Linked DNA regions of Cricetulus griseus. The protein of the gene in region 2 purifies or fractionates together with the protein of the main gene of each other region. This does not show direct contact. Links are inferred from orthologs where the notes say so. Each region holds a gene or a part of one and is shown on either strand. Other genes may lie near its edges.

Region 1 (3,645 bases), on a different chromosome or scaffold from region 2:
AATATGTAATTTTCTAAAGACAACCCAAGCTGAAAAATTCTAGAGGCCCTCAAAAGCCAGCATTTTCACTGTTTGAAGAAGACATGTAATTTGGACAAGTTAGGAATAAAGATATTTTTAGGTTTCCCACTAAATGTTTACCAGGTCTTTCTAAATTAACTGGATGTCCCATACTGGTCAGATATCCAGATATATGTCATCAGTGAAAAAAGAATTAGTTGTGATTACTTAGTACATGTGGTCTTGAAATCATTCAAAATATGAGACCCATGGTGTAAAAAATAATAGAAGTAATTTACTAGTAGCATTTGGTTTCTTTAACCAGTTAGTTATGTCTCACCATGTAGCTCTGGCTGTCCTGGACCTTGCTCTTTAGACCAGGCTGGCCTCGAACTCACAGAGATCTACCTGCCTCTGCCTCCCGAGAGCTGAGACTAAGGACATGCACTCTGTTACAGTTATTTAAAAAAATAAATAAATAAATAATAAATAAAATAAAAAAAAAACAATAGCAATAAATTCTGAAGACCACTGACTTGGTCCTGTATCTTTATCAAAAATTCAGAAAATGTTGAATTCTTAACTCTGGAAATATGCTAACTCAGTTTGGATCAGCTGACTTCGTCACCTTTCAGTTATCTTCTTTAAAAAAAAAAAAAAAAAAAAAAAAAAAGTAGCCTTTCTAGGTCAGCCCTCTGTTCCCCAATCATTGTAAACAGCAGTATTTATTAGAGGACTTAAAGGGACAGCTCTATACACACACACACACAAACACACACACACACACACACACACACACACACACACACACACACAGCTCCTTCCTCACGACCAGCCTTACAGCACCAAACTGTTTCTTTTAAAACCCCAACTTCCAATTCTTCTTGAAAAGGAAAATGATATTCTCCCCCAAATTACTGCCCTTGCAAAACAAAATGCCCCAGGTGTCTGATGTCCGAACAAATCTTAACTTTAAAAGGCCATGTTAATCCAATAGCCTTGGGCGGGAGAGACCAAAGCAAGCTTCAGACTAATCCTCTAGGCCTCACAGGCTGGCTGAAGGAACAGGTGCAAGGCATGCCTTCCTAGAGGCTGTCTCCATGATCTGACCTTCTCCAGCTGGCAGCTTGGCACCCCACAAATCAGTTATCTATCAGAAGGCCAAAGCCTGGTTTCCCCATCTGCACTTCACAAATGGCTCCTGTTGCCAAAGGGCTCAGATTGACCTGGCTCTCCTCGGAGAACGCAGAGAACATGCCTCACAAGTAACTTGCCAGGTTTCCCTGGAAGCAGATCTAAATTGTCCTCTGAGCTCCCTCCTTAACCTCCCAGACTTATGGCTCACCTTCCATTTCTGGCCTCCCTTGAGTTTCTTAACACCACCTCCTCATGTTTGCCCCTCCAATGCCATGTTCTTTCCGTTCAAATTCCTTGCCCATTTGTTCAAGAGCCAATAGCCCCCGTCCCCCTTAACACCCAACTTTCAATCCAAAGGGCACAGTTTGGACAATTCCAGAGCTGTTTTGAAGTGATCTCTTTCAGGCCTACCTGTAGGGAGCTCAGTTGTGGCTTCATCTCTTGCCTTCTCCAGCTTCTCTCTTACCCAGGGAAACTCCTGGAGGGAATCTAGGAAGGTATCAAACGCTTTGGGGCCCCTGGAAGGCAGGATATCCAACAGCAGCATTGTTTTCCGGAGGCCTGTGGTTTGGGCTTTGATTTCTTGAACATGGTTTTCTGTCAAAATCCCTTCCTGGTAGAGGTACTGCAGGACCAGTCCCTCCACCAAGACCTCCGCACCCAGCTCCAGACGCAGAGAGCGGAGCACTTGCTTGTCTCTGGCATCCATTTCTCCCTGGAAAGAAACAAAATCAGCACTCGGGTTACAGGAATGCTGATGGACCCCCTAAAGATAGTGTTGCTGCAACATCATTAGTGAGCATCTCAAGGTCAGTCAGACGTTCATATCACTGTGCCAAGCCACAGTGTTTCCTACATGGCTGCTAAACCGAATCAAGTTCATTTCAAACACTTCCCAGCATATGGACAACACTAATTATGAATCCATTTCTCCCTGCTTTCCACATAGCGGGGTCCTACTACAATTCCTTTCAGTAAGAGAGCCAACAGAAAACAGATCTGAGACCTTACTTAAAATGCAATCCCTGGAAATTAATTTTAGCATGCTAGGGAAAAAATGGATTTTAATTTAATATTAATTTCATCGTTCAATCCAGCACCCACACTGCAGTAACTGCTAAAATGGCCAGGGGCATTATAGACCCTTACCTCGAAAGAGGGGTAGGGAGGTGGAGAGTAGGGGAGCGGGGTGGGGAGGGCAATCTAGACATCAGAATGAGTTTAAGGATCTTTCTTTCAGAAAAGACCAGCGCGTTCAAGAAAGTATTTGTGTGCCTTTTACAATTAGCCTTATTTACAGAAAGTCACAGGAGGGAATGCAGGACCTGGGTCACAGTGCAGTATGGGGCGTTTAATGAGCACAGGTGGCTGTGTGGTGGCATTGAAGGAAATGGGAGGGGAAAGAGGGGCCAGCATGGGTGTCGGGTAGGGTTTCGGACGCCCGCGGAGCACAGAAGGGGGACACCGGATCCCAACCTTCCTCACAAGCCTCCGCAAAGTCCTGAGGTGGCCGGCGGGGAGGGGGTGTCCACCCTCCGCCGCGTGTTTCCATTTGGAACTTTCCCTGTCTCGGCAACTGAGAGCCGTCGCTGTGTCACACACGGGAAGCACTCCCGGCGATGCTCGGGGTACAAGAGGCCGCGCGATGATCTTCACGGGGGAAACCGCCACCCAAAGCCTAGACTAGCTCGGGGACCAGAGCCAACTGAACCGAGAGAGCCGCGCAGGGGCGATGTCGCCACAGCGCGGGGATTTCGAGAGAAGATGGAGTCCTGCTACTTACGTCTGCGACCACGTATCTTTAAAAAAAAAAAAAAAAAAAAAAAAAAAAATCTACAACCGGAATCCAGACTGTTAGGGATCCTGTACCGAAAACACCATCTTTGTTTCAGGCAAAAGCCCTGGACAGGAAGTATTGTAGCCATCTTTGTTGAGGGCAAGATCAGGAAGTGTGGTAGCCATCTTTGTTGAGGGCCCATGAGGTCAGGTTGAAGCTTTTTCTACCATGTTTGATGTGGGTAAAAGAGACAACCTCTTCTAGATTTAAAAAAAAAAAAAAAAAAGTAATTTAAATAACATAAGGGATTACCTTAGTGAAAGAGTAAATGAGTCGTTGAATCTTAACACAAAATCTCCATGAGAGCCTTGCACATAATAGGCAGGTCAAAAGTTACAGATTAATTTTGTAACATGAAGTGATTAATGAGCTCATCGATTCATGTATTGGATGACATACCAAAAAAAGATATAACTGCTAATTTTTCTATTATTATGTAGTGTGTGGTGTGTGTGTGTGTGTGTGTGTGTGTGTGTGTGTGTGTGTGTGTGTGTGTATACATGAATACAGGTCTCTATGCAGGGCCGGAAGAGAGCATCAGATCCCCTGGGTCTGGAGTTACAGGAAGTTTGAGCTACCTGAAGTGGGTTATAGGAACCAAATCGGGTCTTCTGCAAGAACAGCATGTGCCCTTACCAGCTGAACAATCTCTCCTGCATCAACTCTTTTTG
Region 2 (4,090 bases):
ACCACAGGCCAGGGTCACAGAACAGCCATGGGGAGTCACAAGGAAGCTGAGTGAGGAAAGAGGTATGAGGGCAGGTACCCCGATGTGGCCAGGGAGACAGGGTAGACAGATGTCTTCTAGCCACCTTCCCACCGATACCTGTCCAAATCTGAGGTCAGGAATAGCCTGGGCATTTCTGGAATCGGGGGTACGTCTGCACAAGGGACAGGCATGTGGTCAGAATGATGAAATGCCTGCATCCTTTCATAGCCTGGCCACGCCCCTTGCCGAGCCTACCTGGGGGACTTAGGGGTGCTGGAGAGGCCTCACCCAGAGGGTTCCCCTGCAGGCGGACAAAGGGAGCGTCTAGTAGCTCTTCAGGCAGGTCCCGGAGCTGGTTGTCCCTCAGGTCAAGCCGAGTGATCAGTGGCAGGTGGGCCAAGCCAGTGGGCACTGAGGTCAGGAGATTGCTGTGCAGAACAAGGAGCTGCAGAGACCGCAGCCCCGCTGCAGACAAGTGCTGGCTTAGGGTTGGCAGAGGGCTACTCATGGTGGCCCTGGGCACCTTGACAAGACACTCACACTAAAGGCTTCAGGCTGTGTCACATGGTGGGACAAAGATGAATGTGAACTACCAGCAACCAAGGAGGCAGAAGCAAAGTCAAGGGGCCAGCTGGGAGCAGTAAAGTTTCATAGGCCAAGCCAGCCCCAAGACTTTAGGGCTACAGGGACCCACGTGGGAGTGGAGGTCTGGGCAGTGGCCGAGGGGCACTCTATATTAGCTGGTGAACCAAAGCTGGTACCATGGCTACTCACCAAGGGAAGCCGGGAGATTCTGTAGCCGGTTGGAGGCCAGATTGAGTTCAATGAGGCTGCTCAGGTCTCCAATCTCAGAGGGTATGGTGTCTAGAAGGTTCTCAGAGAGATCGAGACGCTGAAGGGTGGACAGGGACCCCAGTGTTGTGGGTAACCTTTCTAGGCAGTTGTGCCTCACAGAAAGGAAAGTAAGGGTGGGCAGGGACCCCAGAGCCTCCGGCAGCTCTGAGAGACAGTTGTGAGAAAGCAGCAACGCATCCAAGCTGTGCAGTTCCAGGATGCAGGTTGGCAATGTCTCCAGTCTGTTGAAGCTCAGGTCCAGATGAGCCAGGCAGGTCAAGTCACTCAGGCCAGCAGGCAGAGTGGTCAAGGTACCATGGAGGCAGGCACCCAGGGCACCCCGGCTCTGGCCCCCTGGAAGTGGGGGAGACAGCTGTAGCCCTCAGAGTTGGAGTCTTAGTTCAGCCCCGATTGCCAGAGAAAGCAGAAGGGAGGATGCTTCCCTTTGAAGCCAGCCACAGGGACAGAGAAAGACAGAAAAGCAGACAGAAAAGACCACCAGTTCATATCAGATGACAGTATCACCCAAGTACAACTGGGATCTGCAGAGACCCAACTGGGCACCTTCATTGTCCAGACTCAGGAGACAGAGCCCAGTCAGCCTTGCTTTGGGGAGGAAGGTGATATAGCTGAGGACAGGGAACAGGGGTGGGGTAGGGGTTCACCCCTGAGGTGCAGGGAGAAGAGAGGTCTGGAGTTAGGGCTGGGGCAAGATGGCCTTTGTGGACCAAGAAGCAGACTTAAAGCAGGGCTAGAGATGAAGATAAGGTCAGTAGTAAGGTTACTCACCTTTGAGGACCAGGGAGCGCAGGTGCAGCAGACTCCACGGAACCTGGGCTAGGGTGTCATCTAGCAGTCCGGGGTCCTCGTGGGTACTGAGTCGCAAGAACTCCACCCGCAGCAGCTCTGGGGGCTGCTGGGAACACAGGTACTGCAGCCGATGGCAGCCCCCTGGACGTATGTCCAAGTTCAACTGGTTCCCAGCCAGGAGAAAAGGTGCCCCAGGCCTGGAATCCACAGCCTCCACAGCGGGTCTTGCAGCATCCTCTGCAGTAGCGGCAGTTTCCTTCGACTCTAGCCCCTCCAACACTGTAGCCATCACCCATGGAAGGTCCTCGGGGACCAGACATGTCCCAGCTTGCCAAGCGAGCCTGCTCAGGCAAGGCTGAGAGAAGCTGCAGAAACAGGGGGAGGAGTGAGCCGTAGGGGGCCAGTTCCTTCTCGGATCAGAGTAACAATAACTCAGCCTCGAAGCAAGGAGCTCTTGAAACCACCCGCCCAAGAAACCGAGGTATAGAGCGGAGTGGCCACTGCAGCCCTAGGACCTACATCTGTGCTGTTAATGAGAACTGGATCTTTCCGCCCGGGAGGGGTACCAGGCAGGGAGACTCTGTGAACAGCTAGACAGAAGAACTCTGCTAGATCAAGGACAAGGGTAATATTGCATCGTGATCCCTGACACCACCTACAGGGCTGTTGTAATAAGGGTCCACCTTCAACCTTCACACTCATTAGTTTGGGGAGGACCCTCTTCCAGTGCAGGCTTCGCTGTGTATGAGAGAGTCAGCAAACAGTGCGAACCGGAGCCAAGAGGACTTTGGGGTCCCGGGGCTCGGATCTCACATTGCGGCCCCTAGAAGAGGCTCTGGCGCCACAATTCCCAATTCACACCTCCGTCAAATTGGGGAACGCAGAGAGGGGCTTCTTTGACGTGCAGTCACTTTGGTGCCGCCTCTGCAGTAAACTTCCCGCCGCCCTCTGAGTACCTTCCACGATGATCTCCGCGCCTCCACAGGCGCGCTCCACGCCGGCTTCCCGCCGGCGCGCTTCCGGGCGGGCAGCGGCTCGAGCTCCGCCCTTCCCTGCTGGCCAGTAGGAGCTCCCTGGAACTCTTGACTCCCGCCTCCAGTTCGGTTGCCCTCACTAGGGAGGCAGGCGTAACGCGTGGAAACTCACACTTTCAGACCTCCACAACCTGAGACCTGCTGTGGCACTGCATAGCCTGGGCCCCAAGTACATTCTAAGGCAGGGATTTGGGGGAGAACTTAGAGAATTATTGCACTCTTTGTTAAAAGCTAGAACTCTGAATGCCCGAAGTGCTGCTAGCACCAAGGGCTTCCTGTGAGAACCCTGTAGGACAGCCCCTCTCAACTTGTGGGTCGCAACCCCTTCGACAAACCTCTATCCTCAAAACATTTACATTATGATTCATAACACTGGTAAAATTAGAGTTATGAAGTAGCAATGAAAATAATTGTCACTATAACACGAGGAATTGTATTAAAGGGTCACAACATTGGGAAGGTTGAGAACCACTGAGTCTAGGACTTCCTTCCCAGGCTCTGCAGTGAATGCCAACTTGTTTGAGCTTGGATGCCCTCCTCACTGAACATCACTCTGGGTCAGCTGCCTAGACAGTGAGTGAGCTTTCTGGCTTTGCATCTCTGAATCCTGTGGATCTCACAAGAAAAAAGAAAAGCCAAAAAATAAAATAAAGTTGAGATAGGACATCTTGCCTAAGTCCTTTAATTGGCAAACATCAAAACCAACACTCAGCATCCTCAACAGAGTGGTAGACTGGGAATGAACAAGTGGAGAGTTTACACTCTATGTGATGGGCAGGCTCCCTGCTAGACCTCCCTGCTTCTATTCTTTCTAGCACCCTACCTCTTTTACACTGTTTCCATAAAGCTGCCAGGAGGATCCTTATAAAAACCAGTTCCAGGAGCTTAGTATAACTGTGCTCACCTGCAAACCCAGTACCTAGCTGAGATGGGAGGACTGCCATCCTGGGCTGCACAGCAAAACCCTGTCTCAAAATCAATAATTGTAGGAATATTACTTAACTTTAAACTTGTAATCTAGGCATGGTGGTACATGCCTTCAATCTGCAAAAGTGTTCTTTACCATTGAGCCATCTCTCCAGCCTTGCTGCGTTTTAGAGTTAAAAAAGAAAAAAATCGCACTCAGGAGGCAGAGGCAGACAGATTTCAGTGAGTTCGAGGCCAGCCTGGTCTCCAGAGCGAGTGCCAGATAGGCTCCAAAGCTACACAGAGAAACCTTGTCTCAAAGAAAAAAAGAAAGAAAGAAAGAAAGAAAGAAAGAAAGAAAGAAAAAATCACACCAAACTCTCTGAGTTTGAGATCAGCCTGGTCTACAGAGTGAGTTCCAGGACAGGCTCCAAAATTACAGAGAAACCTTGTCTCAAAAACAAACAAACAAACAAACAAACAAA
Region 3 (4,171 bases), about 190 Mb from region 2:
AAAAAAAAAAAAAAAACCCTGGCCATGGTGACACTCATGATGCCAAGACCAGAGATGCAAAGACAGGCAGGTTCTTGAGGCTCACTAACCAGAATACTTAGCCTACTACACAAACGAAAGGTAAGTGAGTCCTTTCCTGTTTTAAAAAAAAAAAAAAAAAAAAAAAAAAAAAAAAAAAAAAAAGAGGTGTGTACTTAGAGGGAGATACTGGAGGTAGTCTTCTGGCCTTCACATATGCGCACTTTTGCACACACACCCTCAAGCCCCTCCAAATAAACAACAAAAAAGCTCAACCTAGGTACATGTGTTTGTTCATCAAATTTATGTTCACTTGGGTACATGCCAGTGTGTGAAACTGCTAAGTCACACAGTAACCGTAAAGGTAACATTCTGTATTCCTTCCATTTGTGAATGTTGGGCATTTTATGTTTACTTTGAGTCAAAGGTGAGTTTCCCATAATGCCCTATGACATTGAACATCTTTTTAATGTTATCTGCATGTTTAGGTTTCTGTTAAAATGGTTGTGAATTTTCTTAAGATGGTGGTTGTGTGCATGCATTAGTAAGACTTCTTTATCATGTCTTTTGTAATCCTCTCTCTTTCCACTAATTATCTTTTGAGAATAAGTGATCATTGCATTATCGTGCAACTTAATGACACCAGTAATAACACTTTTTGTTTTTTTTGGCCTTGAGATTTCACAATTACCATTTCAGAGGGCTACAAAATAATCACATTTCGTCCTCCACAGCCCGCCGTGGCAGATGAAGGCTCATTTGCCAGCTCTCAATCGCCACTGTCGCACTCGGTGTTTTCCAGCTGGCCAGGGTGACTCAGCCCTGACAGAGCAGCTAGGAGCACCTCTTTTCAAGGGCTCTCTCAGAACGAGCCGAAAAGCAAAGCAGAACTGGCATCGTTTCCGCGGGCAGGCCTCCGGGATCGACGTGGGAACCGTCGTGATCGGCGGAACTCACTGCCCAGCGGGCCCTGCCGCACTCACCGCCCCGGGGCGTGAGCAGAGGCGGAGACAGAGGCGGACGCAGCCTAGCGCCGCCCCACCCAGCGAAGCTCCGGTGTAGGAGGACGAGCGGACCCGGAGAGGCGTCGCGAGCGCGGGTGTCGGTGCCGCTCACCTCGCGGGGGTCGCAGGGCCGCGCGGGCGCTCAGAGAAGCGCGGTGTCCGGTGAGCCTGGGCGCGGCTGGGCGCCACTCCTGCACCGAGCTCGGTCCCTGCGTCCTCCGCACGGCCCAGGAGCCGTCCTGGCTGGGCAGCCACGGCGAGGCGCAGCTCCTGTCGCCCCTGCCCTCGGGTCGGTGTGCTCACCTGGGCCGGAGTGCCTGGCCGCGGAAAAGGAAAGTAACTCTGAGGTAAGGCAGCGCGGAGGCCGCGGCAGGGTCCGCCGCTCATTTCCTCCGCAGCTGGCTTCCCGGAAGGGGCGGCGACCGCGGGATTCCAGCGCGTGGGCCGGAGGGCGGGCCTCGTTTTCCGGAAGCGGGTGATGGGCGGGGCCGCCAGCATACCCGGAAGTCGAAAGGCGCGGGAGTTGCTGGGTGTCATCTAGCGGGAGGTTGAACTCTTTTTGAGGTGGTTTTAGCTCAAGTCGCGACAGAAAGTGGACATCTGCGCCGTGACCACGGTTGTGGAGTGACAGTGCGACAGGTGTTTCTCTTTCACTATTCTTTTGGTAGGGGTGATGGGTTATGGAAGCGTTAGTGCTCTAACAAGGTTGCCTAAATGTTTTGGACCTGCCAACCACGTTGTACTTCGGCCGCAGGGGGTTGCAGAGCTATGGGTAGCTTTCATCATTATCTCAGAGGTGAGCTAGCAAATGAGGAGCGATCCACGTCCTCAGTGAGAGAACAGTGTCAAACGTCCAAGGCTCCTCTGGTCCTCAGTGGCGTTTGCTTTTGTGGATTGCTGCAGCCCCCTCTGGGTTCTGAAGAAGATAAGCCACATCCTCTCCACCGGTGTTGGACAGAGCCTCCTGGGGTTGGATGGTTCGGTCCAGGGTGGCTCATTCTTTGCCTCTTGTAGGTCATTTTGATTTCCTTGCTCATTTATTTGGGGCAGAGTGAGGCTGTTTTAATCAGGAAATTCCACAAAAGTCCTTCAATCTTTAGAAAGCTATTAATTCTTTCTTAGCTCATGAAAACTCAATGGCAGTGTGAACTTTGAGATGTAATGATTTAGTCGTGTAATTTTGTACCCACTGGGAAGACACCACTAAGGCTTTGCTGTATATAAAAAATGAAGACTAGTTTTGTTTAAAATGAAACTTATTTTGTTTTATTACTGAAAAGTAGCAGTAACAGTTACCAACTTTAATTTTCATTTTTCTCTTTCTTTCCTGTTTTGAGCCTTGTACATAATGTTAAGTTTTCATGACTGTTGCAAACTGGGAATGGTTCTACTACTTATTAGTTCATAACATGTTAATATCACCAGTAGAATCTTGGAATTGAATCAAAAAGTATAGTTTCCCACACTTTGGTTGGATATTATTCTGGCATATGTGTCTTACTGTGAAGACATGGATAATATTAATTTTGTGTGTTTTGTTTTTCAAGACAGGGGTTTCTCTGTGTAGCCCTCGCTATCCTGGTTCTCCCTCTGTAAACCAGGTTGGCCTCAAACTTAGAACTCTGAGATCCATCCACCTGCCTCTGTCTCTCAGTCCTGGGATTAAAGGTGTGCACCACCACGCCAGCTGAGACAGGGTTTCTTTATGTAATTCTTATTATTCTAAAGCTAACTATGTAGAAGACCAGACTGGCTTTGAATTCCCAGAAATCTGCCTGCCTCTGCCTCCTTAGTGCTGGTATTAAAGGCATGTATCACTGTGCCTGGCAACAATTCGGTCTTTGCATCTGAGGTTTGATCTACATCTGGGGTTTTCAAATTTTTATTTGACTTTCTAGAAAGCAGCATGTATTAGAGAACTGAGAGTGGAAGTCTGAGAAGGGTAAGGTTTGAATCCATTCATTTCAGGTGAATCACTTAACCTCAACTTGTAGTTTCTTTATTTGTAAGGTGAAAATAGTCCTAATAAGATTAGTTCACGGGTCACAGTGTGCTAATGTATTTGATCATGCTTCATTGAATTTTATTCTAACTTTGTCTTTTGTTGATGGTTTGATTCCTTGTTCATTGCCCTGCTTGTGGACGAAGCACAGACTGTTTTAATTAAAGAATCCTGGAGATGGCTCCTGATCGTGTCACATACCTGAGTAAAGTCAGAATTCTGTTAGGGAAGACATGGGAAACAATACTCAATTGATATTCTCTCATTCCCTGATTCTCTGTCCTCCTGCTCTTATTATATATGATTGTCATTGCAAATTTAAGAGAAAATTAATTGGGTTTAAAGGGAGTCCAGCCATTGGGGGGGGGTTTGTATACACACACACACACACACACACACACACACACACACACACACACATTTCCTGAGGTAAGGTCTCACTGTGTAGTCCTAACTGACCTTGAATTCACTAAGTAAGCTTGAACTCAAATAGTGTATATTTACTATTTATATAATTTATAAATAGTACTATATTTATAATATAGTAAATAAATAAATACTATATATTTTCAAATGTAATACTATTTAATATATATATATATATATATATATATATATCCTATTTCTGCATTAATAATCATTTATCCCAAAACACTAGCAAATCCCATTGAAAAGGACATGGTATTAGTTGAAATTAGTTATGGCTTTCTATAACAGGTCAACATACCTTAGTTAATTTTTAAAGCACTGATTATCTGGCTTTCTACCTTACATTCAGTGTTTTTGCAGTCCTTGGGTCTTCCTCAGTACACTGCCCACATGGCTTTCTCAAAATACACTGCTTATAAGTTGACTGGGGCTCATCAGCACAGCACTTGACTGGCATGTGTGTGGCCCTGGGTTCTGTCTCCAGCCTGCCAGAAAACAGCAGCATAAACTTGAATCATTCAAGGGGAAAAAAATAAAAGCACGAAAGAAATAATTGAATATCCACCAAAGGAGGATTTGTGCTAAGATCAGACTAGACTAATAAAGCACAAGACTAGAGGAAAAACTGGCTTAGATCCAGAACCATGTTCCCAAAGCATAGTAGAGGCCTTCCCTAGCCCCGCCTTCTTCCCTAGCTCCACCTTCCCTAGCCCTGCCT

The links.
Region 1: the proteins of Pidd1 (region 2) and Cradd purify together in Homo sapiens (affinity purification with western blotting; 8 studies listed by BioGRID and IntAct, with this or other methods). This does not show direct contact. The link is inferred for Cricetulus griseus from reciprocal best matches to the Homo sapiens genes PIDD1 and CRADD.
Region 3: the proteins of Pidd1 (region 2) and Ripk1 purify together in Homo sapiens (affinity purification with western blotting; 3 studies listed by BioGRID and IntAct, with this or other methods). This does not show direct contact. The link is inferred for Cricetulus griseus from reciprocal best matches to the Homo sapiens genes PIDD1 and RIPK1.

The regions. Positions count from the first base shown.
Region 1 is NW_023276806.1:161,323,311-161,326,955, forward strand, and holds part of Cradd (death domain-containing protein CRADD), read right to left. Parts: intron 3,050-3,645; exon of another isoform or gene 2,921-3,049; intron 2,901-2,920; exon of another isoform or gene 2,614-2,900; intron 2,561-2,613; exon of another isoform or gene 2,287-2,560; intron 1,853-2,286; coding exon 1,549-1,852; intron 1-1,548. UniProt on the Homo sapiens protein: Adapter protein that associates with PIDD1 and the caspase CASP2 to form the PIDDosome, a complex that activates CASP2 and triggers apoptosis.
Region 2 is NC_048596.1:59,739,544-59,743,633, reverse strand, and holds the start of Pidd1 (p53-induced death domain-containing protein 1), read right to left. Parts: upstream 2,808-4,090; 5' UTR 2,479-2,807; intron 2,473-2,478; exon of another isoform or gene 2,325-2,472; intron 2,031-2,324; 5' UTR 1,955-2,030; coding exon 1,645-1,954; intron 1,210-1,644; coding exon 796-1,209; intron 487-795; coding exon 277-486; intron 194-276; coding exon 139-193; intron 47-138; coding exon 1-46. UniProt on the Homo sapiens protein: Component of the DNA damage/stress response pathway that functions downstream of p53/TP53 and can either promote cell survival or apoptosis.
Region 3 is NC_048596.1:253,842,883-253,847,053, forward strand, and holds the start of Ripk1 (receptor-interacting serine/threonine-protein kinase 1), read left to right. Parts: upstream 1-1,231; 5' UTR 1,232-1,369; intron 1,370-1,506; exon of another isoform or gene 1,507-1,661; intron 1,662-4,171. UniProt on the Homo sapiens protein: Serine-threonine kinase which is a key regulator of TNF-mediated apoptosis, necroptosis and inflammatory pathways.